Lonchura striata: one gene and its partner. The protein of the gene in region 1 binds, or shares a complex with, the protein of each later gene. Links are inferred from orthologs where the notes say so. Each region holds a gene or a part of one and is shown in the gene's direction. Other genes may lie near its edges. The genes, in order: NUP43 and NUP37.

The links.
Region 2: NUP43 (region 1) and NUP37 share a complex: the UniProt entries of both Homo sapiens proteins name them as parts of the nup107-160 subcomplex of the nuclear pore complex. The link is inferred for Lonchura striata from reciprocal best matches to the Homo sapiens genes NUP43 and NUP37.

The regions. Positions count from the first base shown.
Region 1 is NC_134605.1:57,514,879-57,530,487, forward strand, and holds the start of NUP43 (nucleoporin Nup43), read left to right. Parts: upstream 1-8,778; 5' UTR 8,779-8,818; coding exon 8,819-8,938; intron 8,939-9,311; coding exon 9,312-9,434; intron 9,435-9,676; coding exon 9,677-9,754; intron 9,755-10,659; coding exon 10,660-10,837; intron 10,838-12,438; coding exon 12,439-12,574; intron 12,575-13,457; coding exon 13,458-13,609; intron 13,610-15,410; coding exon 15,411-15,533; intron 15,534-15,609. Other genes in the region: PCMT1 (protein-L-isoaspartate(D-aspartate) O-methyltransferase), read right to left, coding at 2,277-2,535. UniProt on the Homo sapiens protein: Component of the Nup107-160 subcomplex of the nuclear pore complex (NPC). The Nup107-160 subcomplex is required for the assembly of a functional NPC.
Region 2 is NC_134607.1:19,253,371-19,268,453, reverse strand, and holds the start of NUP37 (nucleoporin Nup37), read left to right. Parts: upstream 1-7,359; 5' UTR 7,360-7,431; intron 7,432-7,467; exon of another isoform or gene 7,468-7,610; intron 7,611-8,917; 5' UTR 8,918-8,981; coding exon 8,982-9,137; intron 9,138-10,798; coding exon 10,799-10,923; intron 10,924-11,903; coding exon 11,904-11,976; intron 11,977-15,083. Other genes in the region: PARPBP (PCNA-interacting partner), read right to left, coding at 5,963-6,112. UniProt on the Homo sapiens protein: Component of the Nup107-160 subcomplex of the nuclear pore complex (NPC). The Nup107-160 subcomplex is required for the assembly of a functional NPC.

The DNA.
Region 1 (15,609 bases):
GTTATGCAAAATATACACTATATTACACACATATTTAATAAGTTACACACAAGACAAACACCAGACAACATCAAATTAACCTCATCCAATCTGCATTCTCACTTTTAGCATAAAATGCTGTAAATGCTATGTAGCTGTTTTTAGAGAGGAGAAAATACATTGATGGACCTACTACTCCAAAAGAATTCTCTGGAACATCTTAAGTCTTTCTTTAACCAATAATGTTTAAGTTTGTTAAAAAATATCTGGAAGAATTGTATAACATTAAACAGTACTTTCTTCTAAATCTGTTCCCAACTTTAGCAACAAGGTACCGTCCTACCTGAGGAACTCTTATTTGAAAGTTATGGTCTTAATTCAGCAGCTGCTCTGCACTGATAAAGCCCTACACCATGAACAGAGTCCCACTGAAGTTGACAACGCAATCTTCCTGCAAGATCAAAGGCCTCTTTGCTGCCACAATATTTTACTGCCAATCCACTATTTCCCTGTTTTACACCCCTCAAAACATTTTGGCATGCATATGCAAAACAGAGAGGGGGAAATTAGCATCAATGCATGCTTTGAGATTACAATATTGAGCACTTCTGTTTTACTTTCCTCTTCCGATACAACTATCGCTGGATACTAACTACAACGGTTTTTAGCTTTGTCATCATTATTTGCAACGCCCTAAACAGTTTCCATGTGTTGAAAAACTGTCATTGTCTTCTGCAACAAAGAAACTGGTTTTGCCTTCAGGTTCTGAGCGTCCTAGACTATTCTGGTAATAATTGCTTTTTGGATGTATTTTGGAGTTTAACATTGGTTTTTACATCAGAAAGTTTTTCCCTGCTGTGTAAGAGAACAGTATTTCAGTAAAACAGTATTTCTAGCCCTTTCAGTTGCAAAATAAAACAAAACAAATGTATTGCAACACTTGTAACTAGAGAAGTTATTATCAATTTATTAAACAGAATTTTTACAACGAAACTACAATAATCAGTAGTTTTTACAGGGAAGCTGAAAGTCACTTCAGCATGTATTATTCTGCTGGATGCGATAGTTTTCAAAAGAAAATACTGAGAAAGACCACATGATCAGATGATCTAACATAAGCAGAGAAAAGGAGAAAACAACAAGAGTGATTCTCCTATGACACCAGAATAATGAGGAGGCCACACAGATGAACTTATCTGTGGTGTTGTAGTATCACTAAAGTAGGAGCCAACTGTCATAGTACGGGCTCCAGATCTACATCCGATTACGTCTAGGACACAGACTTGAGAAGAGGAAGGGAAAAGGCCAGAAGCATAGACGAGAGACACTAAGTATACTTAAGAGAGGTTAATTCAATTCTAATATGAAAAGTGGAAGCTCCGAATGCACAAGGTGTTGTCTCTCCGTCCTCTCAGGACCTGCAGACTTCAGGATGTACTGAAGTACATCGGCGAAGAAGCGCCCGCCCAACACCTTCCACGTTCAGCACGGGGACAGCACAAACCCTCGGCGAGCACAAGGGAGCGCCCAGTGCCGGGCAGCCACCGCAAAGCCCGGCTGTCACAGCACCAGTCCGCAACCCGACCGCTCCGCTCCGCTCCCCGCGGTGCCAGCCCACCCCTCCGAGCGGAGCCACTCGGGACCCCGCCGGGCAGGGGGGAGGGACTGCTGCCACACGCCCCTTTCACCCGACACAAACAGCCGCGGCCTCTCGCCGCGATTCCCAAACCCAGGCGGCTCCCGCTGCGCTGTTCAGCCCAGGCCTGAAGGACCGGAGGGCGCCCGCCGACGCCACCAGTCCCGCCGGCCGCAGCGAACCGGACGGACGAACGCCGATCCCGGTGCGTGCCGGAGTCACGGGCCCTCCGGCACTGCCGCCGCGGCCCCGCAGACGGAACGGGGCCGGGAGGGGGGGACGCGGCGAGCAGGGAACAGCCGCGGCCGCCGCACGGCGCTTCCCCTCCGGGACCGCCATCGGCGCCACCCCGCCCGCCGCACTGCCTCCCGCAACAACAGCCCGGCCCGCCCTACGACACCGGCCGCCGCCCGGACACACATCCCCCGCCCGGGCGCGCACGGACACACCCCCGGCCGGACACAGAGACACGCACACACGGACACGGACGGACGGACGATACGGGCACGCGCGCCCGGGCGCCGGTGTCGCTCCGTGTGACAGTTAGCGGCGGGTCGGGCGGGCGCCGCGGGAGCGCGCGGTCGCTAACGGTCACCGGGCGGCCGCTGACGGCCGCCCCACAGCCCGGGGGCCCCGCCCGCGCCCCCGCCCCGAGACTCACTGCGGAGGTTGTGGATGAGCTCGGAGTGGCTGGCGCCGCCCGACTTCCAGGCCATCGCTAGGCACACTCTGCGGAGCAGGTACAGAGCCGCCTTCAGCGCCGCGACTGCGCACAGCAGCTTCCCCAGGAAGGACACAACCTCCAGCGCCGACACAGGCGCCGCCTCCTCGCCGCCTCCTCCCGCGGCCGCCGCCGCTGCGGCTGCCGCGCGCTCGCCGAGGGGAGGGGCCACGCGCCCACCGCCCCGCGCGCCCGACATGCCCCGGCCGCCGCCGCCGCCGCTCCGCCGGCCGGCGCGGTGCCCCCCCGCGCATGCGCGCCCACCGCACCCAGGGGCGCGCGTGGGGAGATCCTCGCGCGCCGGGGCGGAGATGTACAGCGGCGGCTCCCGGCCGGCGCGTTTTGTTGCCGGGGCCCCGGATCGCGCGCTAGCGGCGAGACCCCAGTCCTGCCCTCGCCTCAGAAACGGCGGCGGGGTGGAACGGATCTGGGGGCGCGTGTACGTGAACTTAGGAGCTCTGTTAATTAATGAGATAGCGAAGCGGCACCTCGGCGCGCACGCACTTCTAGCCCTGCCCGGCCTTAGCCACTCCCGTGACACAGTCGGTACCCACCGGGTACCGCAGAAGGCGGAGTCGGGGCGGCCGAACCCAGCACGGTGACTGCGCCGCCAGCTCCGGGCTCCGACCCAGCGCGCGACCCGCAGCCCTTGCGACGGAACCAATTAGCGGCGTCTCCCGGCGCGGTGTTTTGCATGGGGCGCGCCTATTGGCCGCGGCGAGCCCGCGCGGGCCAGGCCTACGTGTTGGCGGCTGCCATTGGTCGGGTGGCGCGGGAGCTGCGTGCTCCGTGTGTGCCCACGGTGGGGACGGGGCAGCGCGGGTGCGACCTGCGCCCGGGAAACACGGCGGGAGTGGGAGCGGGCTGGAAGGATACGGAGAGTTGGCATAGCCGTACACTGGCTAAAGGCCGCGAAAGTATCGATGTTTCACAGCAGCATCTACCGGTGCAATACCGATGACACAGAAAAAAGTTACAAATTAAAATTCCTTTTAAGAGGTATCCAGGACAATAGCTCAGAATTTATTAAATGCCGATGAGCCCTTACTCTCTCCCAGCGTTAGGCCTATGATGAAGTAGCAATCTTAAGGGAAAAGTAGCACCTTCAGATCCTCCTGCAGCTATAACATAACGAGGGAAAACAGATAATTAATTTCCTACAGTCCTATAGTATTTCTCCCTCCTCTGAAGGGAGCCTTTATGATTAATTTTGTTGCCAATATTCATTTGCCACCTGTTATTTATACACGTTTCTACTGTTTAAAGGGAAAGCATATACCATCTTTGCAATTTTAGGAACCCACTGTCAGTGCTGTGACTTCTGCATTTGTGCTGCCTTCTGGTCCCTGCAAATGGGCTTCACACACCTAGGAATAGTTTTGCAGCACTTCCTTTCTTAATCAGGCGCACTGGCACAGGTATTTCATCCACATGGTACCAGACAGCAGGGTTTTCAGTTCTTGGCTTTTAAAACATGAGAACAGTGATACATAAGTATGGATAGGTTAGCCCTAACAATAGTATAAACACTGGGGAAAATAAGGTGTCATCTAGCAGATATTTCAAGTATTTCTGATACAAGGACACAGCCTAAAATACCACCATGGGAGATTACACAGATTGTATCTTCTGTGAGAGAGCCCATCTTGACTTTGAGTGTTTATTTTGCTCCAGCTCCACACAACACGTCTATTTCATGCAATCATTGCTGGTTCACGTGAAGAGGTGAAGGTGGGAATCTACTTCTCTACTTTGCAGTCAGTCCAGGACAAATCTGACAGTTGCTCAATGCATATACCAGACCCCATCCGTAGACTTCCCATCTGGTTCTTTTAATCCTGGAGCTAGATCTACTGCTTCATTCTGTGCTCTCCATCTAACTTCTCCTAAGCGTGATCTGGCAACTGCAGTCCAAGTGAGGCTCCCAGCCTGTCCCAGAATATAAAAGATCTCCCTGATACACCCAGTGGGCTGAGAGAGTGGGAAAGATGCCATGGAGTTAGAGGAATTCCCAAAGGGCAGCAAGTACAGAGAACAGACAGACATTGTAAAAGTACAGCATAGAAATACTTAATTGTTTTAAATGCAAAAGACATTTTCTATTGTCAGATGCAAGCAAACTGCATTGCTCTCACATAGAGAGGTTGCTGCCAAGAAAATAGCTGGCCCATGTTTAAAAGCATTCCAGGGATACTTACCCCTTGGGAGACCAAAACCACAGCAGAAACTATTTACATACAAGCTGATGCTGCTTACCAGGACCAGCTTGAATTAGGCTTAGCTTGTCACAGAGCACTGAGAGCAAGCCTGCATTTCTCTCGTAGGAGTTTGCAGTCCTGCCTGGTTGCTTTCTGACTGAGTGTTCATGTTCTTGACATTCAGAGAATGAAACTAAGTGTGGGCCTTCCTTAACAATATCTGGGGTGTCTTGGACGGATATCAGGCATGTGTGAAGGAAACAGCATTGGCTTGGCAGGCTTCCAGGAGCTCTAAGACAAGCCAAGTTGCCTCAAAGGGTCCTGGGAAACTAACATGCACCAACAGTGGCAGGATGCACCCATTTGTGCAGTAAACAAGTGAAGGTGTCCCTAACTCTTTCAGTTCCATAATCCCAGGCCATGTGTACATTTAAAAAACCTATTAGGAGCACATTCAACGAGACTAAACTAAAGGCAACATTTTTTACTAGTGTAAAATATGAGCAGAAATAATAATACAAAAAATTGTTTTCTGGCCATCACCATTTATGTGAAACCTATCCATTTGCTCTGATACTCAGGATTTCTGTATCCTGCTCCAACTCATGTGAGCACCTTGGTCCCTGGATGCTCACTGTCAACTGCAGGCACCTCCATTTTCCACATGCAGAGCCATTTCCCTAGACTCTCCAGGAAGCTGATGCGTGGACAGTCCTCTTAGAGAAAAGGCACAGGAATGCCAGCAGCCGGAATGCCAGCAGCCAGAATGCCACCATACAATTGTTCTGACATGAAGATCCCACTAAGTGTAAGCACATCATCTCGTCTTCCTTTGCTGCACATTCACCCACATCCCAATCCTCTCTAGCTGTACTTCCATACATTTATATATAAACCCCTTCAAACTACTATTTCTGTTTGATTCCTTCCCTCCCACCTCATAGGCCCATTAGATTTTTTTAAATTCTTTGAATTTAGAAAGAATTTGAAAATTGCTCATCACTGTCTGCTCCCATCTGCTTCTGCATACCACAAGCAGAAATTTCCTTGTGAAATGTTCCTACTGTACATTTCCGCAGTTATGTCCCAAACCCTACGCTAATTGGCTTTTACACCTACACTCCCTCCTCTTCTTGCCTCCATTCTGTTTTTTAACTTAATCACTCTCCTTCATCTCATTTCTTTTCCTATAAGCTCAAGCCAGTTTGGTGTGTACCTTCCTTTTGTATTACCATTTCAGAAGTTTACATTATTTTGAACTCCACATCCATGTTTTACCAGCTCTGCACTCAGAGATGAGGTGAGAAGGACTCAGTAACATCAGTGACTTTCCCCATTAAGGAGCAGCAGAACTGGTACCCCTTCATGAAGGAAGGTCAGCCTTCCAGATGAGACCTTCCAGATGATAGACCATCCCACAGCATCTAAGCAAGGCAAGCAGAGCAGGGCTGGGGACAGAAATGGTTTTGCCTTCAAGTGAAGTGACAAGTCAGGCCCCAAGTCAAGCTAGCCACCAAGTTTGGGCAACATGGCTGAGCACAGGCCCTCCTACAGCACAGCTCAGGCCAAGAGCAGGGTATCCCAGCCCAGATGGGAGCCCCAGCCACGGGCAAGGCTTATGACTGCACTCAGGGCTGGTCCCTCTGCTGTTACATCTGCTCTGCAGTACACTGCAGTGTAACTGTACACCTTCAAGAGAATAAACTGGGCACAGCTCCAGGACCTCTTAGCAGCTGTCAACATTGTTTTGGCATCTCCAAGAAACTTTCTTTCAATATTGTTCAATGATGATTGGAGAAAAGCAGATTATATGCAAATCTAGTTCAGAATTAGCTTTATCCTGCCCTAGTACAATCACTGATCTAGTAGGTGCCTTTGTCCTCAGGCCCCCTACGTTCTCTGAGACAGGCATGCTTTCGGTTTTCTTCCCTTTCACTCACACTCCCAGCTTTAGCCATATTGAAGGGTAATCCAGAGATGCACCTTGTTGTCTTAGCTGGCATGCTTGGACCAAAGGCTTAGAGTCATCTTAACCTAGATTTAACATCTTTCTTGAAAACTACAGAAATACTAGATGAGGCGTATTTTCTCTTGGTGCTTATTTGCACCTTTTATATGTTTATTTAAATCTGCCATTACACTGAAATGATATACTAACACAGTACACATCTTTCAGAGGGATCAAGCACAGAGTATTTAAAGGTTTACAAAGCAGACCTAAATCTGTCAGAGCTCTCACTTTCATCATATAAAATGCTGCCAACATTTTCTTTAAAAAATGTAGGACAGGGAAGAAAAACTGTGAATCTTCTTTTCCTCTATGTGAAAATAAGCCTTTATGTCCAACTAACTTCCCTTACTACTTCCCAAATGCTTCTGAACAAGCAATCCTGAGCAAAGAAAGATATCATCCAAAAGCACAAGGTAAAATAACACACAGAGAAATCACAAACTAACAAAAAAAAAAATATTTGCCTAATAAGACTTTTTAATAATTCCAAAGTGTTTTCTATTCAGCTTTTAGTTGTCTGGTCTGTAGCTATACTCTGAGGCTGCCTATTGATGTTTTTCGTGTTATAAAAATTAGCTGATAATACCCTTGGAGTCAAGAGTGACTTGCAGAACTGCTGTGAGCAGCTTAATAAGGGTGCCAGAAGCATTTGCTACTGTAGAACAGCAATGCTGCTGCCATGTGCAACAATTATTTTTTAAGGTATGTTTGCAGTATGGTAGACTCCTAGAGAATCCAGCTTTTGGCATATGTTCAGTGTTGGATTCTGCTGAATGTAATTATGGAAGAAAAAGTTAAATGAAGTTCAAAAGATGCATGAAGCACATAAAATATCAGTGGTTTGGTATCACACCTCAGGGATTACAAAACAGTATAGCAGACTTAATGAGGAACTCAAAAGTGCTGTATAGAATAAATCTGTATAGATGCCTTTAGCAGGAAAACTGCAATAGCACAATGGAAAATTTGTCTAAGCCACTGTTATGTCCATCTGACAGAACCTCTGAGACTGGGCAGCATCAGCTTTGGAAAAAAATGCAGCAGAAAACAAAGCTGTAAAAATCTGTGTGAGAAAGTCCCTTACTGGACTGCAGTGACTGGATCAATAGTCTCATCCTCTGAAATGACAACTAACTACACAATTGTGTCAGCCTTTAATTTTACAACTAACCTCTGAACTTTTTATTGCATAGTTATTTAGTTCTCAAGTGAAATACTAGAAAGAAAGTACATGTGTGCTCCTCTTTGATTTAACATAGCATCTACGACAAAAAAATATTCTGTTTATTTCTGTACAGGTAGGAATCTGTCAAAGCAATGACAGTATCACTCAGAAGTACAGTATCATGGTTTAACCCCAGCCAGCAAGTACCAGGCAAATATTTGGTCACATAAGCCCCACAAACCACCCCAGCCCACCCCAGGGAGTATGGGGAGGACAATTGGAATAAAACCAATGTAAAAAAAAAACATGGGTTGAGATAATAATAACAACTTATCTCTTAATAACTCTAATAATTCAAATCAAAAAAGATAAACAGCCTGTCCCTAGGCAGTAATTGGTCCCTCCTGGCCAATGTTCCCCAGTTTAATCAGTGCATGTGATATTCTATGGTATGGAATATCCCTCTCACCAGCGCGGGTCAGCTGTCCTGGCCATGCTCCCTCCTGGCTTCTCGTCCAAGTGCTCACCGGCAGAGCGAGGACTGAAAAGAACTTGATTTGCGGTAAGCGCCGCTCAGCAGCAACACATCAGTGTGATGTCACCATTATTCTCACATTAAATCGGATACATAGCGCTCTGGCTGCTACTCGGAAGAAAATTAACTCAGCTGAAAGCAGGACATACTTAAAAGCAGATCTTAAACCAGAAATGCTTAGTCGTTGTGTACGTCGCTCATGTTGAGAAAACAGGAGTCGGTGCATGTAAGGCACAGGTGACATACGGACACAACGCTCCGGCGGACGCGGCCCAGCCGAGCAGACAGGTAACACAACGGCACGGTCGCGTCATCCTCTGTTTCCTCCTCTCCGAACCCGACCCTCTACCGACACCGAGCCGATAGGCGCCGGTGCAGCTGCTCAGGGTCAGGCAGAGCGCAGCGCCGCCCCAGCCCCGTTACCGCGGGCAGCAGGCGCCGGGCCGCCCCCGCGCCGCTCCCGGCACGGCCCGAGCGCGCCCCCGCCTGTCCCTCCGCGCTCGCCGTCGCGCCGCAGCCAATCAGCGCGCGTGGCGCGGGGCGGGCGGGAGCGGGCGCGGGGCGGGCGCGGCCATGGAGGACGTGAGCGCCAAGTTCGTGTCGCAGAAGATCAGCCGGACGCGCTGGCGGCCCCTGCCCGCCGCCGCGCTCCAGCCCCCCGACCTCTTCGCCACCGGCTCCTGGGACAACGAGGTACCGCCCGGGCGGGCCCGAGGGCGCGGCGCCACCTCCCCGCCGGGCGCGGGGCGGGTGGCGGCGGCGCCCCACGCCGCCTCGGTTCCTTGCCCTCCGCCGCCTGGTGCGGGAGCGGGGCCGGAGCCGGCCGGGAGCACCGCCTGGCTCGGCAATCCCGCGCTCCGCTTGACCGTGCCGTGCTCGCGTCCCCAAGGGAGCTGTGGGGCCGCCCCGGCAGCGTTATCCCCCGGGGCAAGCGCTTCCCTCCGGCCGGCGGCGGCTTCCTCAGGAGCGGCGCGCAGCCCGCAGCCTATTGCTTTCCCTGGCTGAGGATTATTGCTCGGTACTTTCAAAAGCGTTTTCGAGTACATGTGGTATCGTTTCCGTTCAGGACAACAGGATCTCCATTTGGTCTGCTGGCGACCTTGGAAATGCGGGCCTCAACGGTGAATATCATGGAGAACCTCATTTGCTGTGTGACATCCAGCACAACGGCGATGTTATGGATATGCAGGTAAAATACCTGTGTTGAGTAGTTCCGTAGTTTTTAAGGGCTTGTCACTTAGGAGAAGTTGAGTGAAAGTGAACTGTCAAAATGCTGAGATTGGCCAGAAAATTTTGACAAAGAAAAAGGACAATGCCAATCAATATTGCTGTGTTTTTCGTGCGTTTGGTTTTTTCCCCCTCCACCTACCAATAATTTTGATTACTCTAAAATCAAAGTTGGCTAATAGTATTATTGTTTTCTCTCTCTAGTTTTTGGATCAAGAGAGAATCGTGGTTGCCTCATCAACAGGAACTGTAACTGTATTCCGTCATCATCAAAATAACCAGGTATGTGACATGCACTGGCTTTAAAATGCTATTCCCTGTAATACAGGTTACTTTGATCTTAGCATAAAAATAATCTGGCTACCAAAATGAATTTCTTTTAAAAGCGTGTTAAAAAAGCTTTGACTTGACACATACGAGGAAACAAAATAGTGTTTTACACATATGCACATAAACTAGATTCCAGAGTGAGACAGACTGGGGTATCTCCTTATCTGTATCTGTAACCAAACGCCCATTCATTGAAAGCATCGTTTGAGACATTAGAGGGTTTTGGGGCAGTAGATATTAATGGACTTCTACCTGCCTTATCAGAGTTTTTGAATTCTTGAAATAAATTACTTCTTTTTCAATTCTAACAAATTATGAATTAATTCTTATGAGTGTCATGTGAAGAAAGATATGTAAACTCTGTAGCCTTTTGCTTTGGTTATAAATCACTGAAAATAAATGCATAATTACATTTTTATATATGTTCAAATAACACAGTAAAGGTGGATGTCAGTTAATAATTTGGTGTGGTACCTAAAATAAACCAACTTCCTTGCAATCAAGATCTGAATCTGACCTTTTATTTTCTAAGGGCATCAGTTCTTTTCCCCTGTCATGGGAAATATTGAAGACATCAGCCTAGTGAAAGACATTTTACAGTCCATAGTGTTATTTCTAATTGCTAGATCATGTGAACACAGTGGTTCAGAGAAGAAATAATTAACATTTAATAAAAGCGTTGCGTGTTTAAGATGAAAATTTGGATCTCTTGATTTGTATTTATATAGGAGGCTCTCATTCCCATGAAATACTGTGGCTTTCCTGGAGCTTGTTTCTGGTTATATGAGTATTCTGGAAGATTTGTTCTATTGGGTTCATTATTTAATACCATAATTTCATGTGTGGTTAATACTTAGACATTATCTGCTGACCACCGGTGGGAGAAAGCCCATTATCATGTGGATCAAGACACAGCTTGTGGTGGAGCAGCCTGTACAGGAGTTGTCTGCAACAACCCAGAAATTGTCACTGTTGGAGAAGATGGTAGAATAAATCTCTTCAGGGCGGACCAAAAAGATGCAGTAAGAACTATAGGTGTGTGAAATACCAGGGTTTTTAAATTAGTCTAGTTTGGAGGGGGTTTGGTTTTCAGCTTATTATAACAAAATAAAAAATAAGTTGAATATTGATTTCAGTATTCCAGGTTGAACATGTTTGTTCCAGATTATTCCTGTATCCCTCCAGAATTCAAATACTTGAAGCATATTTCAGATGTATTTCTATATTCATCTAGGTATTTTTAAATTCATGGTTTTACAATAAAAGTTGGAGAGGTAAGAGAGAGAACATCTTAGAAGATGCTCTCAGGTTCTTCAGAATGGAGTTCTGTGGTGTAAGCAATCTGTTTTGCTGGTTCCCACTTCAATAACACCTTGACATTTCCCAGGCACTAAGCTGAATCCGTAACTTGAAGATAGAACTCTTGTACCTCATTCAATAGTTGCAAAGGAATACCTTGGAATTTCTGTTAGTGTTTAGTGTTATTGTTTTGTTATTGTTTGTTTAAGAGTACAGTACAAAGTGCATAGGTTTGTAGTCAGTTAAGGTAGGGAAAAAAACATCTATAAAGTTAGAGGTTTATGTAAAAATATTTTGGAGCAGTAAAGATGTATCATTGCTAAACCACTTAGTCTGTCATAAAACTTTAAATCCTCTAGAACCTCGGTATTCAGTAATCCAACATTTCTTTTTAATGATGTTTTAGTGAGTTTTTTCTTCCCCTCTGCTTTCATTTAAACAATAGGCAGAAGAGTCATTCCAATATCTGTAACCAGGCATCATTGTAATTTTTTTCCCAGTATCAGAAAATATTTCCATCTTATGCAGAAAGATAATAATTTGCCTATATTTTCCATATGGGCTTAAACAAAGAATTTTAAAATACTTGAGGTGAAAGTAGACTTAACAAAGTTACCCCATCATAATCAAGATGAAAGGTTTATATATAGTAACAGAAATAAAATACAAGAAAATAGTGTCACTTTTTCAGAAGGCCTCAAAAGTTTCACCTCAAAGCTGTGAATTGCTTGACATTGTAAATTACTGTGACAAAAAGAGGCACTGGAGAAAAGGATCTGAAAAAAAAGGGCCTTGCTATTTAGTTATTAACAAGCATAGCATAATTTGTGTTTAACTTGATACCACACTGGCACTTCAGGAAAGGTCTAAAAGTTGGTGAATTAACTGCTTCTGTATAAAACTGCTTAATGCTGTGAGCCAGTTACTGTTCCCTGTGTTTAGAACTCCATTATGAAAAGCTCCATAGCTACTTCCTGTCACTGGATGCTGGCCATGTGAAGAAAACTTTTGAGAACCATAAACTTGGTTGAATCAATTCCTCTTCTAGGAACTACAAAAAGGAATCTTACAAATCAACGAGTAGTTTTGTAATCACCAGAGCTAATTTAATACATCTTACAGATTTGTCTCAGTAGTGTTTCATATAGTAAGCAAGGAAGGGCTCCTTTTTCACAGGGTATTTGCAGATAGTAGAGGGTCTCTGACCCTGAAACTGCCGAGGTTATGCACGTGTTTAAGCAATTCTGTTCTGTTCTCTATTAAGAGCTACTTTGTTGCAATTAAATGGAGACTACCATTCCACAGCTTTACCTGTATGCTCTCCTCATCTCTTGCAGACAACGCAGACAGCAGTACACTCCATGCAGTGACTTTCCTTCGCACAACTGAGATCTTGACAGTAAACTCAATTGGACAGTTAAAAATATGGGACCTCAGACAGCAAAGAAATGAGCCATCTCAAATGTTTTCTTTGTAAGACCTCCTAAGTAATTTGTTTTACTTATTTACTGAAAAGTATGTGCTACTTCATATAATCTGATTCAAATCTTTCCTAATAGCTTCCTAACAATGGGATGGTAAATTACTGATTTTTTTTAAAGGATTTTAACTTCTTTGGTACTTAAATAAGCAAAAGGCAGACTGCTTGATGGCTGAACCACTGTGTGACTCAGCATTGTGCTTAGCAGGTCTGTTTTATGTTTTAACTTTTGAAGGACTATTATACCTGTGCACTTTTTTGAGAAAAAAAACTTTCAATCCTCAATCCCAAACTCTTTATCTGTTTATATATGCTTTTCTCCACAGGCCTAATGTAAGGTTTCTGGCATTTGGAATGTATTTGAATGGTAACTTTGTGCCTTACAAGGTACTGTGAGAAAAGAAAAAGGGCTAAATTTCAATTATGTTGTCTGTATAATAATCCCCATTACTGTGCCTAGATGGTGGTTTAGGTACCTGATTTTGTTAGTACCTGGTCTCCCTTTTTAACTTTTAGTATATGCTAAAACTATAAATATATCATGCATCAGAATAATATTATAGGTATATGTAGAGTATTATTTGCCTAAAAGGCGTTTCACTCATATAAAGGTGTCAGATGCTGTGTAGACGTTCCATAGGGTACGAAACCAGTTTGTAGCTTCGTGTTATCGCCATTCTCTGGTTTCCAGTAGATGTCATGTGCCTTCAGCCTGGGGTGGTCAGGTGTTACAGGAACTGAAGGTCCTGTTGATACTGGTACCTTGCTTGTCAATGCTCCTGATGCCAAATTAGCGATTAAGAAGGGGGAAATAGAAGCTAAACAAAAAATTCGTGTTTGGGTTATTTGGTTGTTTTGTTTTTTTCCTCTTTGCAGGGCAGGTGACAGAGTTCCACTGCACTGTGTGGATAGGCATCCCAATCAACAGCATATTGTAGCCACAGGGGGCCAGGATGGAATGCTGAGTATATGGGATATCAGGCAGGGTACTATGCCAGTTTCCCTGCTAAATGCTCATGAAGCAGAAAGTAAGTATCTGAAATGGAGGGGGGAGAAGAAGGTGGGATTTTAGAGAAGTTTCTGATTCCTGTAAAAATAAGTTGCTGCAACTGTGGTAGAAAACAATCACATACTTGCTATCTCATTGAATCATAGAATGGTCTGGGTTAGAAGGGACCTTAAAGCTCATTTACTTCCAACCTCCCTTGCCAAGGGTAGGGGCACCTTCCAGTTGACCAGGTTGCTCAGAGGCCCATCCAGCCTAGCCTTGAACATTTCCAGGGGTGAGGCATTCACAGCTTCTCTGGAAAACCTGATCCAGTGCCTTACAACCCACACAGTAAAGAATTTCTTACTAATAACCTAATCTAGACCTACTGTTAGTTTAAAGCCATTCCCCTTTGTCCTATGACTACATGCCCTTGTCCTTCGTGTGTTCTAGCCTAGCTTCTAGGAGGATTTGTTCCATGTTTTTCCCAGGACCAGAGCTGAGGCTGACAGGTTGGTAGTTCTCAGGGTCTTCCTTTCTATTTTTTTCAAACATGGGCTTGTGCTCATCTTTCCCTTTTTCCAGTCCCCTAGTATTTCACTGGACTCCCATAGCCTTTCAGACATGGAGAGTGGCTTGGCAACTACATCATCCAATTCCTTCACGATTCTGGGATGCATCTCATAGATTTATGTACATTCAGGTGCCTTAGGTGGGACCTGAGCTTCTTGTACAGTGAGAAGGATTTTTCTCCCCCAGACCCTGTCTTGCAGCCGACCCACTTGGGAGGTATGGGAAGAGAGATTGCCATTGAAGAAAGTTGTTGACTAGCTCAGCCTTGTCCCTGTCCAGTATTACCAGTTTTCTAGTATTGATTATTGGGGGTGTACAGCCTCTTGGACCTTCCTTTTCTGGGTGAATACCTGTAGAAGCCCTTCCTGTTGTTATTTTCATCCCTTGCCAGGTTCAGGTCCAGCTTCTTCTTGCCCTTCCTCACTCTGTATCGCTAACCTTCATCTCTATACCAGGATACCTACTGCTCCATGCTTTCATCTGGAAAATGTGGCTTCCTTCTCTGTATAGGAGACTGTTTTTATATAAAAGTGAACTCTAAACTAAAAGTAGACTTAGTAAGCAATTCTTTAATGAGCTGTTAGATGCATTTGATCAGAACGGCTGTGCTTCTAGCAGGGTAGTTGTATACACAACCATGGAAGCTAGTGCAGATAGAGTAAAGCAAAATGCAGATACTAACAAACTTGAAAAAATGAGGAAGAAGGGGAGACTCAGCATTCATTTGTTGTCTTCACAGTGCTGAAACAGCTCACTTTCCTGGTAACTATGTGAACAGGACAGCAATTAATTTTATGCAGAAAATCCTGTGATTTGATGCTACGTTTAAATTAAAGGAGTAAAAGTATTTCTTGATATTAAATTTTACTGACTTAAATGTCTTCTGCAGTTGTGGTATTTAGACACAAAATAATGTGTGTCCTGGGAAGGAATGCACGCTATGTGCGGATTTAAACTTAACAGCAGGAGGGAATATGACATGATAGTATGCAAAATGCCTGAATTCACATAAGACCTTAACAATTTTCACAGTACTAAAAATGCAACAAAATAGCATCTTTTTCTTTGTTTTTCTTCTCTACCACTTTACCCCTGCCAGCAGAGGGAAAACTGCAGTATATAACTTAGGATGGGGCCTTTCAATTAAAAATGAAAGGTTTTGATGGAGGCATGGGTTCTTGTAAATACATGTCTATATCATACTATCCAAATACTTTGATTGAAGTACTTGAGACTTCTTCTAAAGTGGTTCTGTTTGATATTTCCAGTGTGGGAAGTTCACTTCCATCCCTCTGACCCTGATCATTTATTCACGTGTTCTGAAGATGGATCTCTTTGGCACTGGGATACTTCCACAAATGTATCTGAAAAACCATCTTTCCTTCATCAAGGTAAGGATGTTTGAAGTCCATCTGCACAGAATTTGTCAGTTGGTAACATCATTACAGTCAGTGTTCTCACATGACC
Region 2 (15,083 bases), on another chromosome or scaffold:
AAACTGAGTACCAATCTCCAGTTCCTGCTGCTAAGCTTTTGTCCACACCAGTGGTATCTAAAGCACTCCCCAAGCTGTGGCAGCAAAAAAAGGTGTTTTTCACCATGTAACATGAGATAAGTGCCCTCTAACCAAGGAACAAGCCTTGCTTTGCACTGTCCATAATGGCAGATGGCTCCTGTCTACAGCAAAGGTTTAATTCTATTTCATAACATTTCAACATTAAGCAACTAAATTACTTATAAACACCATTAGCAACAGAACACATGAAATAAGAAAACATGAGAATTTCTAATTCTAATTGTTCCAGCCCAAATGATCCCTCCTTTGGGTTCTAACACATTTAGCACAATTTTCTCAATAGACCTCATTAAATACACAACTCCAAAATCCTGAAAGTCAACTATTTTGGTATTGTCTAGGTGAAAAATAAGGAGTAAAAATTAAAGAACACTCACACATATTAGCTTCAGAGCACTTTTCTGCCTTTTAATTTGTGCATGGGTTATGATAAACCAACACTATGAACTTACATATTATTCCACATATCACCAGAATGTTAAAACTGCGCGTGTGTTTTCTGAAAAGCACCTGATTTTCATTTCAGCCCCTCAAAAAATTAAACATATAATCTTATTATAACCCAATTTAAACAGATCAAAGCCACAGTAGATGGGGGGAAAAATGTTATTTTCTCACTTTATTTTGAATCAAAATCCTTCAGGAGTACCAAGTTAAAGTACAACTTCATAAGGTATCTAATAAATCAAAACCTTTCCTCACCAGATCAAGGGCCTGCAGAGATTAGCAAAGTTTATGTTAGTGCTGCAAAAATATTTTAAATCCAAATGCTGCATTCCAGATATTAACCTTTGTGACCCGACATTCACTGTGATGGCACATTCCATTACTTACACAGTCAATTTATCAAGTCTCTGGTTTTAAAATTAATTTTAAAAATACTGTGGTGTTTTGCAGTAAGCATTTGTCAATTGGCTAATAGCTTAAGGAAATCCAAAAAGTCCCATTCTTTCATTCCATTATAGGCAGATCAAGTGTTTCATCTCATAGGAATAGAACCAATAAGGTATTACAAAGTATCTTCACTTCCTGGTAATACAGCATATTAAGTTACCTGGGGACTCTGGTTTTAGAATGTCTGAAATCCAGTAGCAACATTTCATGCTAAAAGACATCATTTTTTACTGCTTTGTAGGTATTGTAAGTTTTCTAGTGCTAAGTACATAGCAAAACAATTTCTCTTTTGACAGCAAATTGTTTTAAAAAACAAAGTTGTGCCTTTCAGCACCAAAATGTTGGCTTCCACCTTCCCCAAACAACGGCTCATCAATCCTTTTAGGAATATGTGTGCAAAAGACTGCTGTGCTTAAGCACGACCTCTGGGTTGGGGTTATTCTTTCCAGGCATACTCCTAGACTGCAGCATTGTTTTCTGGCTTTGTCCTTGAGTTGGGCACTTCTGCACTCTTGTCACCTCTAGTCCTGCTCAGCCTTCATTGCTTCCCTACACAGCAGAGGAGCTCCCAAACTGTGGTACATTTGGGTAGGAAAAAGCAGCATTTTTAACAAGTTCCCTATCCTGGTGACAGTGCTGTGCAGACTGAGAAACTGATTCATGTGAGTACAAGCGCATGGACATCGGACAGTTGTGAGGTTGCAAAGTGCAGAAGCAGTGATGTTACAGGCTGAAAGCCCAGGCTCAGAGAATTGACAATATTATAAAATAATAATAAATAAAATGACAACGGCATGGGCATTGAACACTTTTGTTGTGGGTAAAGGGGAGTGTTGGGGGACAAAGTACCAGGGCCCAAGAGAGTAGATGCTCTGTGTAAGGATTACTAGAGAGCTGTTGTACACAGTGGACAGTAGAACAGTAGCTGCAACAGCAGAATCACAGAATAGGCAAAGCAAAAACTGTACTCTCCCAAACAACAAACCAGTACTTTCTAAAGCCAACCCTATCAATTATAGTGGTAATAAAAACAAGAGACTGAAAATTTAGAGCCCTGCTGGTTAGAAATTAATGAAACTATAAAAAAAGCCCACACATCCTTGCTTCCTCTTCTACCCCTCAAAACAGACACCTGTAATACTGTAGAGAGAAGGGTGGAAGAGAGAAGAAAAAGTTCTATTGATAAGCAAGGAAAGATGCATCAAGACTTAAGTGGCAAAAATTTTAACATTTTTAAAACAACCTCAGTTATTAAGCAAAACAAATACATGCAACTAACTTAAAGTTACAATTTGATTACACAGGGAAAGACAGTAGAACAGCCTCAATATATAATTTCCTTTAAAAAAAGTATCCAGGGAAATACTTACTACTCCAAAGGCTTTTCTAAAGAAGAGCCTGTCCCTTGTAGAGAAGGCTACTCAGCACTGGTGAGACCACATGTAAGTACTGTGTCCAGTTCTGGGCTCTTCAGTACAAGGGAGACTCAGACACACTGGAGAGAAGTCCAAGGAAGTTAACGTATCACCCACAGACATCATGAAGGGACAGGAGCACCTCACATATGAGGAAAGGCTGAGAAAGCTGTGGCTGTTTATTCTGGAGAAAAGAATGCCCAGGGAAGATCTCAAAGCATACAAATATCTGAAGGGAGGATGCAAAGAGGATGAAGGCAGGAGCCTTCCTAAGGTGCCCAGTGGCAGGAGCAGGGGCAATGGGCAAAAACTGAAACACACACAGAAGGTTCCCTCTGAACATCGGGAAACACCTTTTTACTCTGAGGATGCCTGAGTACTGGCACACATTGTCCAGGGAGGCTATGGAGTCTCCAACCTCAGAGACAACTTGAAAGACACCTGTACAGGTGCCTTTGAGGGAGGCTGGATAAGATGACCTCCAGAGTTCCCTTCCAACTTCAACCCTTCTGTGATTCTGTGAAAAATTAATCATGCTGAAGGACAGCCAAGACAATCTCACTTAGTAGCATCATTACAACATGTTACAAGCAGCACATCACATGAAATTGCTACAAAGTTAGTCAGGAGTATCTCATTACCAAAAGGGAGACAGAACAGTTTAAGGGAGTAACACTGTAAAACTCCACTTTTTTCTTCATTTGCCAACTTGGAAACAGGACAATTTGGGAAATCATTTCAAGAAATAAAGATACTAAACAGAACATAATATTCTCCAGTCGGCATCCAAATGCACTTGCGGAAGCACAGAACAGAAATAAACCAAACATTTTGTATATTTCTGCTTTTATATAAAATCAGAAATATACAAAAACAAATTTCTAAAGGGAAGATAATTTCTAAAATCAACAAAGAAGCAGTTTCTCTTCCAGTATCAAAGTTCTCATTCTAGAAAAGATTTCCAACACATTTAAGTCTGACAATTTAAACTCATAGATTCTGGAAAAATAATTGTTTTATACACTTCAGTTTCCCATCCCACTAGCTAAAACAGCCATAGTCTGAAAATGACAGGTGATTATCTGACCAAAAACTCATCTTCTACCCCTGATGATCCACAGGTACAAACAGTCAACTTAAAGCAATTACCCTCAGCTGAACTTCATCTTGAAAACTTTTCTTATTATTTCAAACCCTGAGGAAGAATCTTCTTGAAAATGTTTCTAGATTTTTAGATCTATACTAATCAATCTAGGTGAAAGGTATTTACTTCTATTCAGAGACCTTATGCCACATGGCTACAACCCAAAGTATTTTCAGAGGGATTCAGACCACAGATTTGCTTTTTTTTTTCTTTCATCCCTACTGTTGGATCAGGGATTATCACACTTTTTTCTATCCTTATTATGGTGAAATTTAAGATTAACAGATTATGAAGCTTTTAAACTTTCCTAGAGTTCTCCTAAAAGCTTTGTTATTTTTCATTTCCACTGTGGATACAGGTACCAATTAAAACACCAAATCCATTAAAACTGTCCAAACTCCTAAATGAAGAGAAGTGTATTTTGGTTATTTGTGATAGGTTGGATGTGTTGGGTTTATCCCAATACAGCCTGTTAATGAATTATTTTTATTGCAGTAATTGACTTTACTAAAATAGATTTCCATTCTACAGGTGCTAACAATTCAAATTATTGTATTTAAATCAGAAACCTAACAAGTGACATGTCTACAAATGTAATACTCTGCATCTTAGTTTGAAGTTTCAGTACTGAACAAAATAAACCAGACAGATTCTGTTTTAAGACTGTGAACTTGAAAATGGATACCATCTGAAGAAATTGTGCTTCAGAGGCAGCACATGCAAGTCCTAAAATAATTTTAATCCACATATACAAACCAAGGTTTGTCTTGTTAGACCAACTAGAAAAAACAAATCAGGTTTTTGAAAACTTGTTCTTTCTTCAGATCTGAAGAAGCTAAACATTTCAAAATTAAATTAGTTGAAAATAACTGCTATAATTTTTGTTAGACCATTTCTGAAAGAAGAGATATTTATGGAAGAGAGGAATATTATCTGGAAGAGGAAAAAAAGGATAAAGTAGAATAAACTAATTACCTCTAGTGGAAGAAAAAACTTATTGCAAGGAAAACAGGGAGCAATGAACCATAACCTTTTCATGTCTGTAAATTTTGGCATACAGCGGAACAACATATTTTAGTTCCCAGAGCTGGCTTTGGAAAACTGTTTGCAGTTTTCCCTTGAGAATCACAACGAACATGACAAACAGCTGTCACCTCCATATGTAGTTTTGCATTAATGTCTTTTATCAGTTTTCCAAGAGTTACTTTTGATGCATGCTGATGTTCTCATTTCAGCTTGCATAGGTATTGTGAGGACACCAGGCTCCTGGCTGGAATATATTACATTCCAAAAAGTACCAATGTAGTATCTTGGCATTCTTGTACCCTTACTGTAACATATCTAACAGTGGGGGATGACTTAACCAGTTTTATACTTAATGCTTAGCAAGAGATATTCCTAGTCTGCGTATTTTAGACTACAAAATCTTTTTCTGATGCACAAACTGAAGGTTTTCTGTTTGTTTGGATTTTTTAATTGGCTTACGGATTTCACTTTGATGTGGTTCTGCTGTTTCTGGTATGTTTGTTGATTTGGTACATTTGTTTTGGTTTTCTTACACTAAAGCTTTGTACTACATGTTTGACTTACTATGCAACACTTGAGTAAGTCTTCCAAAACCAGTCAGTATTGTTTTGATCAATAATTAGGTTAGTAAACCTAAAAAAGTATCTTAAACTATTAAAACAAGTATTGTGATAGCTCTCCTTAGATGAGAGGCAAAGGCCTGATTGTATATTGCAACTGTTTCTGGTATGTTTCAGACATCCTCCACCTCTGACGAGCCATAGGCTACTTTCAGAGACACTTTAGGGTTATTCCTCCTTTTCAACATTTGACAGACACTTCATGTGCACACACAAAGAAAGCCGTAAAATTCCTCCTGGTACTGGCTACACACTCACAACTTACAGGTACACATAGGTCTCCACCTGACCAATGTCAGGAAAAGCAGCAGCCAAGAACGGTCTGTGGCAAGTACAACTTGCACAAACTATACCAAATCAGTTTTGTAATCATGTTCGTCACATGCCATTCAGAAATCTTCTTGGGAGCACTCAGAAAAACAATGCACCCCAAATGCCATAGTTCTCTTACCCTGATCTATAGCACAAAAGAAACATTGGATGGAAATAAACAGAAGTGACACAGTCAGTAGAAATACACTATTGTTTAAAGGCTGGAGCTCAAATATACACATAAAAGCACTTCCATCCTCCCATCTGTCTTGCAGGTCCTTTTTGTAAACCCCACTTCAATAGTGCTCTTAAATATTCATTTTCTTGCCTTGCTGCATCTGGCCCTCAGACATACCTTGTTTTAACAAACAGGAAGGAAACAACAACAAAGTAAATTCAGGTTGGTGCTTAAGCACAAAGTGCAGCCAGGGAACCAAGTCTGAGGTGTGCCAAGTACCAAGAACACTAACCTGTTTATTGACTTCAGCCATGGACAGTTGTAACGCCATCAACATGCAGTCTGCTCCACATACAGTAGTTCTTTCAGAGTTGGAAAATAAAGGCCATTGTCTTCTGAAACACTTGATCAAGTGTAAAATTTTTTGCTGAAAAGTAACCATTGTCCAGACTAGACAATAGATATAATCAAGTGAAAAACAATTATGGCCAGAGACATATGCAGGTCTTCACCTCCCAAAAAGCTGTGCAAATCCTGTTGTATCTTCTTAAAGACCAAGTTCCTAGAATAAACTCCTCCAGCTAAACCAGACTTGCCTCACTATGACAGAGCAAGTCTGAAAGTAAGGGGTGTAAGTATGTCACACCTTTAAAGTCCTTATTTTCTTTGCATATCATGCCAACATAAAGGAATGCTATCACAGATATCACAGTATTTGTCTCCAAAAGCAGCCTCAGTGCATCTTCAGAACTTTCTGCATTCACTATACATTCAGGTGAGTGTCTATGAGGACGTTTTAATCCTGGAAAAAGAGATGTTTAATATTTCTAAGAGTTACTAACACAGACAACTCTAAACACTTTTGTTACCGATACGGTCTTTTCCCTTTTTTTTTTTTTAAGTTTGATTTTTTTACTTCCATAAGGCATTATCTTCTCTGGCGATAATTGGGCTACTTCATGCTTTGGTCTCTCTCACCTTCTTGCATTTGTCAAGACAAGGTACATGACAATGTGGTACAAACTTGCCTTTAAACTTGTTCTTTTCTGAAACAAAGTTCCCTAACACCGCCAGGACAGTACAGGAGCAATACCTATCCCATTTACCTCCAGAAAACAAAACTCAACCTTCGACCTTTTCCCATACAGCCGAAGCAGAGACCACAGCGGGTTCGGTTTTCGGTTGCTGGCACGACTGCAAAAAACGAGGAAGTGTGGGCAAGGGGCAGGGAGGAAACGGGCACGACTGCAGCAGCAACTTCTCACTGTCCAAAACGTGTGGGCAAGGGGCAGGGAGGAAACAGGCACGACTGCAGCAGCAACTTCTCACTGTCCAAAACGTTTGAAGGGGACAACGTCGCATGGGGGGGGGTCACAGCGGATGAAACACGCGCGCTGCAAGTCAGCGCTGGGCAGAGTAAAAGCTCTCCGGAGGCTTCTCTTTCTCCCCACCCTACGAGCTTTCCAGGGGACCATACCTGTCGCTCCCAGCGAAACAGCCCGAACAACCCCTGCGGAGCCGCCCCTAACACCCAGAAGCCGGGATCGGCATCACCATCGCGGGCGCCGCGGTGCCCCGAGCGCGGTGCCGGCGCTGCCGCTGCGGCGGGGCCGGGCCGGGGCCGCGCCGCGTTCAAATCCGCCGCGCGGCCCAATGGGCGCGGGGCCGCTGCCCCGGAAGCAGCCGCGCCGCTGCCGCCGCCCGCGGCCGGCGCTGCTGGGAACGGCCGGGCCCGGCGGGAGCGGCGGCCGGCGTGCCGAGGTGCGTGTGAAGCGGGGCTGGGCCACCCCCGGCCCGGGGAGCTCGGGCAGCCTGGCTGGGGAGCAGCAGCTGGGCCCCGAAGGGAAAAGGAGGGAGGGCAAAGGATGCGCGTGGATGGGGGAGGTGACGCGCACCCACGCGGTCTGGTTGCCTTAGTCGTGCTTTCTAAAGAAATGAAGGTAATCTTACTCTTGGTGTTTTCAAGCTGGTCTGGCAGCCCATAATTCAGGCTGAGAAAGTTGGGGTTGTTCAGCCTGGAGAGGAGGAACTTGAGTGGAGATCTCAAAGCACCTTCCAGCATCTCAAGTGGCTCTACAGGAAAGAGGAGAGGGACTGTAGAGATAGGGCGAGAAGCAATGGTTACTTTCTTTGGTTGAGAGAGGGGAAACTTCAGTTACATTTGGGGAAGGCATACTTTACGGTGAGAATGGTTAGCCACTGTCCCAATCCTGGCAGTGTTCAAGTGCTGGATGAGGCATTAACAGCCTTGTCTAGTGGAAGGTATCCCTGCCCAAGGCAGCGGGGTTTAGGACTACATGATATTAAAGGTCTGTTCTAAACCCTTAACACTCTAAGATTTTATAAAGGCTTGTGTTCATGGGAAGCCTTGAAGGAAAAAAACTTTTGATAGGATTAAAATTTGCATTTGGCTTTAGTAGCAAAGCTATGCAAGTTATATGGCTAAAGTATTTATGGTAATATAGTGGACTGTTGTATGAATTAATACACAAACACATAACTACGGAGAGCCTCTCTGTGTTTGAGTGATGCCTCTGTCAGACCTGGCTGGCTCCCAAGCTAAACATTCGGGCTTGAATGCTGAGACCTTCAGGTCATTTACACACCAAAATCTGTCAAAGGTCTGAGATTTCAAGCTGATTTTCCACGTGGTGTGTAGTTAAAGGTCTGATTTCCCAAAAAGACATAAGCTTATCTCAAATCTGTACTGGGACTACAAGGAATTGATTCTGAAATCAACTGTGTGTCTTGGCCTCTTGTGTTCTAGTACAGAAACCTGATTTTCATGAAAACTGGTTGAATGTGCGACAGAGTTTTCATTTACAGTTTTGCAACCTTGGTTAACTCAGTTTTTCGTTAGACTCACAGTCCATAAAGAGGTAGACAAGTAAAGAGAATTTGAAGGTAGTGATGTGTTGTTTCTTTTCATTTGGTTGAAAATGTTAAAATGCTGTTCGCGACTCTTCTGGAGTATGTGCAGTTACTTGGTTTTTTGTATTGGTGTTGGGTTGCCAAGGGTAGTACAAGATCTGCAGTTATTGCTGAAGTCAGAAAGAGACAGTTTTGAATGTATGTTAGTTTAGTAAATATTTTGATTTCTGAAACAAACAGGCTACATCTAATAAACTTAAGTGCAGCTTTTGTGTTCTTGAACATGTTACAGAAATTTTTATTTACTCTGCCACAAATACTTTGCGGTTTTTATTCATGCAATGAGTCATCTATGCTTTTTTAAATTTTTGTGTAGGAATGTGGATTTTTGTCCTGAAGAAGACACAGTTTCCGTGATACCTTGACTTAGTTCACTGAAAATGAAGCAAGATTCTACTAGAAACATTTCTTACACTGTGGATTGCGAGGATTATGTGCACGTGGTAAAATTCAATCCATTTGACAGTGGAGATCCATGTTCCCTCATTGCTTATGGTGGCAACAATTATGTGGTTGTTGGGACTTGCAGATTTCAGGTTAGTCTGTATTATACTGTTGTTTTTGTTCGATGCCCCTGAAACTGACTTTGCCAGCACCTCTACTGCAGAAAGACTGGTCACTTTCCTGTTTCCTGTTTCCTCCTCTTGCTGGGGTAAACAAGGGAGAATTTTACTTGTTTAATACACTAACAAGTCTAGGATACTTGTTTTTCAGGAAAATAGAAATATATATATATATATATATATATATATATATATGTATGTAAAATACACACTGATATATCTGCACTAATTTTATAGATATTTCTTTCTGGGGATGAACTGTAGAAATACTTACCTAATTTTTTTTTTCTCACAGTTGTTTTTACTGGATCTCCCTTACAGACTGTAACAGTCTGTAAAGTAAAACATCTTACCTTTAAGTTATTTACAGTTATATTGTGAAAAATTTTTAAATGGAAAATACTGAGTATTGAATATATTTATACTGGATAAAATGTTTTTCATTAGATGAGTTTTTTGCCTAGATGCTTGACAATCAATTGAAGACAATTGCTTGGAATTTCGAAGCTTTTTTCCTTCATCTTGCTTCTTTATTACACAATATTATTTTTGTAATTTGTCTATTATGATTAATAGTGTAGCTGATATCTTTATTATTATTATTATTATTATTATTATTATTATTCCCCATGGTCTTACTGTTGTAAATTTTCTGAAGAGCTAACCACAAAAACATACTGATATTTGTGTTCCTCTCTACCTTGTTTCTGATGTAGGCCTTGGAAAGGAAGTAATTCAAATTTTATAACCACTGACACAAGGTGTTTTTTCTATAATTTTCATATCCTCCCCTTCCACATGTGGAGTCAATGACCATGTCACAGTAGGAGAGAAAAATGTTGTTCTTTCTTCCTGTTGAGAAGCATTGAAAAACTGTGGGTAATTTCATGCATCCTCAGCTGGGTTCTGCTTGGCCTCTACATTATGTAGAGGGCATACAGAGAGGTTCTTTATCTTAAAACAGAATTATGACATAGAGAAAATTGTGTAGGAATATCTTTTGAGGTGCTCCATTGGATGTACTGAAAACTTTTAAAAGCGTTTTAGAGGTCAACTTATTGATGGAGTCCATAATCCCAACTCCTGTTTTATTTTTCCTGTTATCTGGTGTTCATATCAATGGTAAGAATAAGCAAGCTTGTAATTAGGATTAGATGACAGAGAGTACCTTTTTGTCTTCTGCTGTTTCAAGAGCAATGTTCTGGAAGTGACAGAATTTTCTATGGTGTAAAAACAGTTCAGAGAGAGGACAGATTAAATTACATGCTTGCTTTTGTTCCCATTGCTTCTTCTCACTGCAATGTATGGTAAATTGCCATTTTTAAGTGGCCTTAGTTGTATCTGTGAAGATACTAGTACAGAGAATGAGCTCAGCATCTTCATAGTTTAATTCTGATTTTCCTGCTCTTCATTGATGTCTGGCTTGAGACTGCAATCATTTAATATATTTCTAAGTACTTACATAAAGCATTAATTTGAAATATTTATCTTCCAGATTTTATTTTTGAAGGTGTTAAGATCTGAAAAGATTGCAATATGTATAATTTTGAAAGCCCTTTCATTTCGTAGCAATCTGATTTGTTAGAAGTCACCAAGACCTTGTTGTGAATCAGCTAACTGCAATATTTCTATAGGAGGAGGATGCAGAAGTGGAAGGCATGCAATATAAGACACTAAGAACATTTCACCATGGAATCAGAGTTGATGCCATAGCATGGAGTCCTGAAACTAGACTTGATGCTATACCTCCTCAGATAAGGTACTTAACAATAAACAACTACAGTGAATCTTTGTCTCTTACCTGTTTTCCCTAAGTCGTTAATAATGGATTGTTCAAAGTTTGAGTGAAATCTAACTCCTTAGAAATCACTGATGAAGTCTCTGAAATCTTCAGTAGAGTATTTATTCTTACAGTCTTTTTTTGTTCATTTGCTTGTTTTTTGTTCTCCCTGTGCCCCTTGATCCTCTCCCCACTGAACAAGCTGTAAATAATATTTTTTTCATTATTTTTATGGACCCCAGACATAAAAGTTTCTTTCCTTGTACATCTGTGATGAGCCATTTATTTTAAAAGCTTTAGTAAATGTGAGATCGTTTGAATGGCCCCTTTCTAAAGCTATTTGCACTGATTTGCATAATATGTGCTATGTTTCAATGTAGGTTAGATACTATTTATGAGAGCTTTTGAGGTGTAAATCTAGAAAATCTAGAAAGATGGTTAGCTATTAAATGTGAACTTCTGAATTAAAATGTACTCAGTAATTTGATTCTTCAGAATTACCATAGTTGCTTACGACTCCGTTTTCATACAGTCTTTTGGGTTAAAACATGTTGAATAGAATTTGGTTTATGAACTTTATATTTCAGTATTTTGAAACACTGATAATTAGGGCTATTTTTTGTGCCCTACCACTTAACTTCTTCAAAGGAAAGTTTCAACAGCATTTATGAGAGTTATTTCAGGTAATTAGTAATTGATCTAGATTTAGCTTTGTAAAAATGCCTGAATAAGTATTCTTGGCACTTGATACACACTATTCTACAGATAAACTCCAATTATAACTCTGCTTGTGGCCAAAGCAGAAAAGTTAAGATAGATGCTTTTGGGTTTTTTTTTCAAAATCTGTTTCTTCTTTGAGTCTCACTTTGCCTTTTTAAGATGAAAGAAAACTGATTAAAAGGCAACTATTGCAATGTTGATTGACTGAAGGGCCTTTTTTTTTAATCTGTTGAGTGTAGGTTTTGTACTGCAGCTTCTGATAGGAAGTTAAGGCTGTTTACTTCAGACCTGCAGGACAAGAATGAATTTAAGGTAAGGGCATCTAATGTGATTTTTAAAAGATTATTTGATTTTTAGTGAAGTCTAATCTTTAATTGTCTTTCTGCTCCACTTGTGACAGAGCCTAGGTTCATCATCTCTAGTGATAATAATTGTATTGTAAATACCTTTCTGTCTTTAAAGTGGGAATAACTGTAATTATCACCTACATGATGTTCTGATTTCCTTCAAAATTCTTCCTTTGAAACAATGTTCCAATCCAGGTACTGCTGTTAATTAAATGTTTGTGCTATCTAGTATAAAGTTTTTTTGGTGAGGTCCTAGCTAACAATAAGCAAAGCTAATTAATTTAAAAAAAAATGGGAGAGAGTATTCCTTGGCTTTTATTGCTTTAGAAGATGATAATGCCTCTTTGATGAGAGTGGATTATTGGGTATAAAGGAGAAAAAATAGACTTTTATTTTTGATGTGTTAATTTATGTTAGTAAGACAATGAGATTTGTCATACAGAAATTAAGTGAATTGTGGATGTCAGTTATGTGGCCGTACTGCTAATAGAATGAATAAAGGCAGGGCATAAGAAGTAAAGATGGATACTACTAAATGTCTTGAAAGAAAATGCTCTTTGTGTTGCTTCATGCATGCACATACTTTTAATTTACTTCTTTTAGTGTTGGTCATACATGACTTTGCCACTGAGCAGTGGCATAACTGACATAGTGAGCTGGGTGGGATTTCTGACAAAATAGTTCTAAAGGTTCTTTATGCTCTTTGCTTCTGAGTTGATATCTGTCATTCCATATTAAAGTTGTCTGTTTGTGTAATATATACAGTTTTGTGAATTTCAGACAACAAGCTGAAAGCTTGTTAAGCTGTGAATTAAATCTTTTAACTTAGCAGAATGTAAAGTTTCTTTAATATTTAGCTAATGGATTGATAATAAGTTGAAATAATGAAACAATGGGATAAACTTGGTACTACAGACTCTAGCGAGCTAAATTCAATATCTGAGTTCTAATTTTTTAGTTTATTTTGGTTTAATTAGGCTACAAGAAATAGTGTGGTTAGCAGCAGGAAGGAAGTGTTTGTCTCTCTGTACTTGGCACCTTGAATCCTCTCTTCAGTTTTGTGCCACTCAGAACAAGGAAGACATTGAGGTGCTGGAGCATGTCCAGAGAAGCAGTGGAACTGGTGAGGGTTCTGGAGTGAATGTCCTATGAAGGAAAGTCCAGCTGAGGGAAGTGGAGTTGTTCAGCCCGGAGAAAAGAAGGCTTGGGAGGGACCTTATCACTCTCTACAACCACCTGAAAGGAGGCTGTAGATGGTGGGGGTCAGTCTCCCAGCCAACAAGTGATAGGACCAGAAGAAATGCCTCCAAGTCATGCCAGAGGAGGTTCAGATTGGATATTAAGAAAAAATTCTTCTGTAAAAGGGTGGTCTAGCATTGGAACACGCTGCCCAGGGAAGCAGTGTGATCACTGTGTTCACCTTACAGATGTGGTGCTTAGGGACAGACCTGGCAGTGTTAAATTCGTGTTTGGACGCAGTGATCTCGGAGGTCTTTTCCAGCCTTAATGATTCTATGATTGTTTGGTGCATATGTAATACAAATGAGAAGTGTTGGCTTGAATTCAGCAGTAAAGCTATTAGCTTTGTTTATGCCAGGTCCACCACTGAAATTAGCTGTCCAAGAACTTTATTAAGGATGTACTCTGGCTGGGGAAAAGGTAAAAATACATACTGTTACTGGGTCAGGCTTGTTAATGTTAAAAATAATGAGAATATAGCTAAGAATACATGTTTTTACCTATTGGTGAGAACTCATTAACAGAAAGAATGTGACTAGTGTGTTTATGTCAGTAAAAGCTGTCTTTGAGACTGTCTTCTGGGGTTTTGTGATATAAAGTGTGGAAAACCCTTTCTGGCAATCAGCTAATTTCTTATATCTGGACAATCATTATACTCCAGATTTCTTGTCAAGAAAAGTAACACCTAACTCTGATCTACAGCACATGCAAAATCCCAGATGTTCACAAATTCTGGGTGAGCTATGCTGATCTGGCTTTCAATAAAGTTTGATACAGTGGCTTCTTATTAACAGTTAACTGATACCTCAGAAAACCAATTTCATAAACCTGAGGCTGAACTCACGATGAACATGTGGAAAATTTTGGTCCATTATACGGCGCACACTTGACACATGGGATCTTCAGGAGAGGTCCAGAACATGAAAACAAAGCTGAAGGAAGTATGTGACTATGTTCAGAATGTAATCTCTGAACATTTTGTCTTTTATAGTAAACAATTAGTAAGTGTTGCTTCGGGAGGGATAGACAGAGTAATCTTACTCTGTTTTCCCCGTGGAGAAAACTGTCTTGATGTAATTATCAACAAGGAACTTGAAGCACACTTAAGTTTTCCATTACTTTGTCGACACAACTAATCCAAAATTTATGGGCTGGATCAAGCCCAGAACAAAAAAACAAAAGGTAAAATATGACTGATGTATCTTCGTGAAACCTTTTTCTTCTTTTGAGGTTTTCATTTGGAAATGAATTATGGCTTCCTTGTCCTGTTTCAAATTTTGCTTAATAAAAAACATATTTAAGCAGAACTGTAGAAGTAAAATGAAGCAGGATATTTGAATTCAGAATGCTGAAAATTGTCAAAAGACTTGGCATCTTGTCTAAATAGTTTAGCATCATCTTAGGGCCTGTTAGTTCTAGTATAATCCATTAGGCTTTAATAAAATAATGGAAAAAAATATTGGAAAAAAAATAAGTTGGCTGCTGAAAATGTTTCTGTATTGAATTGATGAGGTATTCTTAAAACTTTTAGAGAGGGGGATTTAGTTATTGTGCGTGCTTGAGATTTTCTTTTTTTTTAATCAGTTCTGCATTTGTTCCTGAGAATAGCTACACTTAAAGGTGGTGTGTTTTTCTTTGAGAAAACTGTGGAATTTGTTTTCATTTGACCTTGTTTTCCTCTGCAGTCTCTCGGTCTCATGCTATTATCGAGAGGATATTTTTGTCTCATTTTTATGATACCTTGCTGGGCAAAACAAAAGCAGCTGTGCCTCAAGACTTAATCAGTGGGACTGAATAGAAGAGGGTGGAACAGTAACAGATACATCTACACAT